2 linked regions of the Rattus norvegicus genome follow. The protein of the gene in region 1 interacts with the protein of each later gene in a pairwise test. Links are inferred from orthologs where the notes say so. Each region holds a gene or a part of one and is shown on either strand. Other genes may lie near its edges.

The links.
Region 2: the proteins of Cpt1b (region 1) and Tex44 interact in binary tests that used the Homo sapiens proteins (3 or more experiments, as listed by UniProt). The two-hybrid records come from large-scale screens. The link is inferred for Rattus norvegicus from reciprocal best matches to the Homo sapiens genes CPT1B and TEX44.

Annotation. Positions count from the first base shown.
Region 1 is NC_086025.1:122,373,648-122,377,242, reverse strand, and holds part of Cpt1b (carnitine O-palmitoyltransferase 1, muscle isoform), read left to right. Parts: intron 1-564; coding exon 565-672; intron 673-748; coding exon 749-833; intron 834-1,360; coding exon 1,361-1,556; intron 1,557-1,850; coding exon 1,851-2,036; intron 2,037-2,722; coding exon 2,723-2,828; intron 2,829-2,906; coding exon 2,907-3,023; intron 3,024-3,364; coding exon 3,365-3,529; intron 3,530-3,595. UniProt on the Homo sapiens protein: Catalyzes the transfer of the acyl group of long-chain fatty acid-CoA conjugates onto carnitine, an essential step for the mitochondrial uptake of long-chain fatty acids and their subsequent beta-oxidation in the mitochondrion.
Region 2 is NC_086027.1:94,522,147-94,525,613, forward strand, and holds Tex44 (testis-expressed protein 44), read left to right. Parts: upstream 1-1,502; 5' UTR 1,503-1,530; coding exon 1,531-2,841; 3' UTR 2,842-2,921; downstream 2,922-3,467.

The sequences.
Region 1 (3,595 bases):
AAATCCCCAACCCGGATCCTCAACTCTCTTGACACCATTTTTAGAGCTTCTTTAAAACATACTTTTTGCTTCTTGTCCCTTTGTGGAGCCAGGCCGCAGGATGAATGCCAGCTTCCTGTAGTACTCAGGAAGTCCCTGTCTGCCTCACTTCACGTGACTGGTGTCCCCACCATATACCTGTGGACAGATAGCTGATCTTCCTGCTGCCCGGCGCCCAATCTCTCCTAGTGTCCAAAGTGTACCCTGCTAGCCTCCTGGAATTCCCCTCGTCTAAGAACTGTCTTCCTAGCAGCTTGGATCCTGCCCAAAGATTTGTTCTTGTTATTGTTGCTCCGTGGTAGAACCTCTTTGAAGCAGAGTATGAATGAGGGGTGAATAGCTCTGGTTGAAGCTGGAGCCTGTTAGCTTACGTTTCTGGAAGAGCACCCTGACATGATGTTGGATGGAACAAAGACCGGGGGGTACAATGCCTCGGGCTCCTGAAAAAGTTCCCTTAGGCTATTGAGACTCAGGTGACCGCCCCAGCCCGAGGTACCCAGCCTACTGACTCTGCTCCATCCATAGGATTTTGTGCTTATTAAGAACACGAGCCAACAAGCAGCACGTTTGGGAAACACCGTTCACGCCATGATCATGTATCGCCGCAAACTGGACCGAGAAGAGATCAAGCCGGTGAGTTACATCAGGGTCAAGCGGCGGGGTAAGGAGAAGAGGCCTGAATCTAAACCACGCTGGGCCTTCCTCCCAGGTAATGGCACTGGGTATGGTACCCATGTGCTCCTACCAGATGGAGAGGATGTTCAACACTACACGCATCCCAGGCAAAGAGACAGGTACTGGGCTACAACCAGGCACCCATGAAGAGAAATCCCTGGCACCCATGAAAAGGAAGTCATAGCCATGGCAGCTAAGTGCCCAACTACTATTCGTCTCTAAGCACTCCAGTGTCTCAGGGCCATGAATGTGTAGTCAGTTCGAGAGAGATTCTAGGTGGTCGTTACTTACAGACATTGCAGATGCTGGGACCCCTGAGGGGTCCTTCTAGGGTCTCCATAGGGAGGTCGTCATGAATAAAGAGAAATGAGATGAGCTCTGCCGGGGTAGTGGAACTCAGGAGAAGAGAGTCCATCCCTCATGGATCCTAAAAGGAGGCAAAAGAGACTTACTGGGGAGTGGGGGAGGGGGCGGGAGTGCACAGGGACTGACTGGCTTAGACAAAGGAATGCCCAGGTCAGATGTGCTGCAAATCAGGGTCTACAGGGACTGTGTGTTGGGGGGAGATAGCCCCTTTCTGGGCTGGAGAGGGGAACTGGGTATTTTCTGAGGCCCTGCCTCAGCTGCTTCCCGGTTTCTGTCACAGACTTGCTACAGCACCTCTCAGAGAGCAGGCACGTGGCTGTCTACCACAAAGGTCGCTTCTTCAAGGTTTGGCTCTATGAGGGCTCGTGCCTGCTCAAGCCCCGAGACCTCGAGATGCAGTTCCAGAGAATCCTCGATGACACCTCCCCGCCTCAGCCTGGAGAGGAAAAGCTGGCAGCCCTCACCGCAGGAGGAAGGTACCCAGGGTCTGTAGGGAGGGTTTGTCCAGGCCCAGGTTCAAGGCTTCATGAGAAAAAAAAAAATGCTTGGTCCCACCTCCATCCTAGAACTGGGGGCCAGAGGTGCAACTGAGGCTAGGCACATAAAACCTAGTGAAGGGCACTGGTGGTAAGGACAGAGGCCATCTTTCAGGATCCCCAAGTGGCTCTTCCTCATCTCGTCTCCGGATTCAGCCTGATCCTGAGGTACCCTGGTTTTAAAATATACATACATACATCAGTTCCACCGCTTCCCTGACCTTGCATCCCCAGGGTAGAGTGGGCAGAAGCACGTCAGAAGTTCTTTAGCTCTGGCAAGAACAAGATGTCCCTGGATACCATCGAACGTGCTGCTTTCTTTGTGGCCCTGGACGAAGACTCTCACTGTTACAACCCTGATGACGAGGCCAGTCTCAGCCTCTACGGCAAATCCCTGCTGCACGGCAACTGCTATAACAGGTACGTGCCGCCCTAGGCTCATGGGTCAGAGGTTAAAGTTCAAGTTTAGTGATGACAATTATAGGCCAGTGGTTAGGGTCAGAAGATTAAGGTAAAAAGTCAGGTGCAGTGTTAATGGATAGATAGCATTATTTACAGGTAAGGTCGGATGTTGAAGATTAGGAATGGGGAGCGTGGGACTGGAGAGATGGCTCAGTAGGTTAAGAGCACTGGCTGCTCTTCAACCCCCAAATCTGACGCCCTCCCATAGGCACACATGCAGGCAAAACACCAAGACATATAAAATAAAAATAAATAAACTTTCTTTTAAAAAGGCGAAGAATGGAGATTAAGAGGGCCAGTGGGGTTGCTCAGTGAGTAATGGTACCTGTGGCTAAGCCCTATGACCTGAGTTCAAACCCCGGAACCCCAATGGTGGGATGAGAGAACCAGGACCCCAAATTTGTCCTTTGACACCACGCAGGCGTGTGCACACACACGTACATATTTTCACACACGCGCACACACACACACACACGCACAAAGACACATGTAATTTTATAAAATTTAAAGAACAATAGAAGTTGAGGTTAAAGTTCTGGGTTAGTAATTAGAATTGGATCATGAGTGTTAGCAGTATACGGTTAGGGCAGTGGGCTGGAGAGCTAATTACCCAGTTCTGGGTCTATCCTGATCTACTCCTGCAGGTGGTTCGACAAATCTTTCACTCTCATCTCCTGCAAGAATGGCCAGCTGGGCCTCAACACAGAACACTCATGGGCAGATGCTCCCATCATCGGTCACCTCTGGGAGGTAAAGTCGCGGACAGGGCATTGTCAGGGCAGGCACCTGTGACGAGGCTTGTTTCCAAGCTTGGTTTTATCCCTGCAGTTCGTCCTGGCCACTGATACCTTTCACCTGGGCTACACGGAGACAGGACACTGTGTGGGTGAACCCAACACCAAGTTGCCGCCGCCTCAGCGGATGCAGTGGGACATTCCCGAGCAGGTATTCAGACTAGAAATGGCCAGCTTAAGTCCCACCCTCAAGACAAAGGGACAAGAGCTTCTCGGGGTGCCATGTGGGACACAGGGAAAGCAGAGACCCCAGGGTTGTCTGGTTAGAGAAAGACTGAGATCCGTCGCTCACAGTGCCTGGTAGATGGCACCTCCCTCTCCACCAGGCTCAGCGTGGCCTCATGCCATATCCTCCCAACCTGTCATTTGTGTGTCCCGATGCTATTGAGCTGACCCCGCCTCCCATCACTACGTGAACCTTACACCTTCTTAGATCTAGAGGCCTCCTTTGAGGACTTTGCCCTCAACTGACCCCATTCCACGTCTTGGCAGTGCCAGACAGCCATCGAGAATTCGTACCAAGTAGCCAAGGCCCTGGCTGATGATGTGGAGTTATACTGCTTCCAGTTCTTACCCTTCGGCAAAGGCCTGATCAAGAAGTGTCGGACCAGCCCTGATGCCTTTGTGCAGATTGCCCTGCAGCTGGCTCATTTCCGGGTAGGAGCTTCTGAGGGCTGCTGCGGAGCGGGCAGGGCATCCTCGGGGTCCGCCTGCTTGATTCAC
Region 2 (3,467 bases), on another chromosome or scaffold:
ACCCTGAGACGAGGGTACCGTACGGTATGCATCCATTTTCCACCATGAACAGCCAATAAACCGTTTAGAACCGTGGACTGTCTCTTTCATCAAGAGACACAGTGGGAAGCCATGGAGAAGGCATTCAACTACAGAGCCGCAGCTTAATTCTCTACCCCCGTCACAGCCACCACCAAGCTAAGGACAATCACTCCATGGGACAAGCTGGAGCTCCCCCTTTCTCTTGGCCCAGGCTAGCCCTTGCCCCCCCCCACTCCATTCTCTGCTCTTCCTTGACTCCCAGTGGTGCCTGAATGCCCAAGAGTCTGAAACCTGAAACCACCACCACCACCACTCCACCACCCCAGCTCATTACAGGTCCAGGGACACCCCCCCACCCCCAGCTCCGGCTTTCCCATCCCCTGAGCAATGTCTTGGAGCTTCCCTACAGCCTGGCACCCACCCCGGCGATGGTGGCATAGGATAAGCACAGTCAAACTCCTAGAGTTCTGCCTCCCCAAGAGGCCGTGCCCAGCAGCAGAGCAGGCGCGGAACCACACCCCTGCCCCCAGGAGAGAAGATATAAAAGTAGACCCAGTTCTCCCTAGGGATGCTGGGGTCCCTGGGGGCATCAGATGCCTGCTTCTCCTCTTACCCACCACAACTACGCCTAACCTGGCAACCAGAGTGAGCACAAACACACACTCTAGCTGTGGATGAAACAGCATACTCAGCAAGCGCTCTACAGCCAGCCAAACCCAATCCACAGCTACCTTCTTAGCACAGTGGGTTTATCTGGGGCCCTAGTCCTTCTTAAGATTACCCGGAAGTCTGCACCCATTTGCAGCTCTCTGTCCTCCCAGCCCAGGTGAGGAGGTGGATTGTCCTGTGTCCAAAAGGTTAACTCTAGCTCTAAGGATAGCCAGCCTAGATGCTTGCCGCCCAGGCCCTGGCCTCCACTATCCTCCCCCCATCCCCCTGCATTGCTAGAGAAATGGCTCCCAAAGAAAGACTGACTAAACTGGGGTCCTGAAGCACCAATGAGGAGAGAGGTGGTGGGAGGGATAATAACCTGGTGTATCAAGTGTCTGTTATCCTAGTTCTTGAGAGGCTAAGACAGGAGGATCATCGGAGTGGGAGATCAGTCTGAACTATATAACAAGAACACTGATCCCCCACTCCCAAAATAAACTAAAAACCCACTCATTCAAACTCAGCATCACCTTCCTTTATCATGCCCCAAAGCACAGTTCCCACAAGCTCTCACAGCCCTGCGGCTGCATCTGCACCCACCTCCATATCTTCATCTTAAACCGAGATGGTGATCCTTCATTTCCTGTGTCCCTACGGCTCTGGCTATGCAACATCACCTGCATTCAGCCCGCCAGGACAGCCACTCAGCAGACTCAGGACATTCAAGTGGACTTGCTCTACAAGTACCTGTGACATCATCAGCTGCCCACAACCTCCTGTGACCTCACCACCTGGACAACTGAGCCTAGCAGAGGCAAGCCACTCCTTCCCAACCACCATAAGTAGCAGGGGGCATAGATGACCACTGAGCCCTTGGAAGACCCTGAAGCCAACAGCAATTTTGTACATGGTCTTCCTGAGGCCTCCTTGGGCAACAAAGCTGATGAAAACTCTGAAGATTTACCCGGACCGTCTGAAGGACTGGATCCCCTACCTGATGAAGTCCCACCAGAAGACATCGTGGAAGCACGAGCTGAAGAGGATGTAGACCAGGCCTCTGAGGCAAACATCATCGCCACAGAGCAAGATGAAGAGCAGGCCTCCATGCAGATTGCCACTTCTATGGGACAGAATAAAGATCGGGCCTCCATGCAGACGGACACCTCCACAGGGCGAGATGCAGAGCCAGCCACCTCCATGACTACATCAACATCTGGGGTCAAAGAAGAGATCCCAGGTACTCCAAATCCTAGCCAGGAGAATCTCGAAGAGCTCACATCCCTGCTGCCCCAAGACCCAGGTATCCTGCAAATGTTTGTAGGTTTCCAGAACCCAGTGTGGGACAGGCTGGCTGAAAACAACCGCACAAGTCGGAGCCGGACGGTTTCCCCAAGTGACTCCCAGACCCAAGAAAAGACATCAGGAAAGTCAACTGTTTCGGAAGGGCAACTGGAGATAGCTTCAAATGCTGACGTCCCATCTGTCCTACCTGAAGATGTCCAGACTTCTGCAGGAGCTACTGACCCACCCCCTTCAGATACCACTGGTCCTGAACCAGAACCCACCAAGTCTGCTGATCAGGAGGCTGAAGATTTCAAGGCCTTGAACCCTGAGAGCAAAGTTAGATCTCCGAAGTCAACCAGTGAGGATTTAGCTGCGGACTCAGGGACCCCTCAGGCCCCACCTTCTCCAAATTCCCCAGCAGACAGTCCACCCCCCTCTCCAGATTCCTATCAGGTGTCCCTAGGAAGGAGCCGTCTGGACCCCAGTCTGTATGGTCCTGAAGTGGAGAATGACTACATGCGCTCTATGACCAGCTTACTGTGTGGAGGAGAGGGCTCCATCAGCTCCCTCACAGACATCCTGGTGTGGTCAGACACAGCCACACGCATGGGTGTGGCTATGGGCATTCTGGCCTCAGGCCGCAGCTCTCCAGCTGACAGGCTACAAGACGAGGGTCCCCGACTGCGCACTGTCGCCAGCCTCTTTCGCAGTGCCAGGTCAGCTTTCTCGTCTGGGGTGATGGCTGGAACTAGCTCAGTCCTGCGCTCTGTCACACACCTGCTGGAATCTGTGGAGAGGCACACTATGGAAGGCATCCGTTCAACTATGCGCTACCTGAACCACTTCACCTTGCGCTGGGCTCGCACTGGCTCCAATAGTGACTAGACCAGCAAGCCCCTCTACTCCTTCCCCAACCCTGTGCTAAATAACTGCTCCCTGCCCCTCAGTAAATAACCACAAGCGTTTATTTTCTAAGCTCTGCCCTTATCCATGCAATGGGACAACAGGGTAAAAGGAACGAATGGGGCCCACAGGTAAACCTAGGAATGTGCCTCTCTGCTCCTCAGCCCCGTGCCCAAGCTACCTGTTGAGGTTCTGGGAGGCAGGAGGGGTTTGGGAGTAGAGAGTACTATATCAGGCCTCACAGGAGGGACACACACCCTTAGGTCCTGTGTAATCTTTTTAAGGCTTAGAATCAGACTTGTGAAGTCTCCTCTCGTCCTGGGCCCCACTCCCTGGCCTCCTTTCCTCAACCTGGAGTAGAGAAAGGAACTCCACCACCACATACACACGTCAACATCCCAATGCCAGAAGACACAGGACAGGGCTCCAGGGAGGGTGACCAAACCATCTCTCAGACTAGAGGGGTGAGAGGACACTGTGGATGTTAAGGCCTTTAGATTTCAAAGAACTGGCTGCCCACCCGTGGTCCACGTCATCTTCATGATGTTTTACTCCGGTCTCTGCCATTTGCATCTTGGGAAGTAGGTACAGGAGCAAGAGCTGAAAGC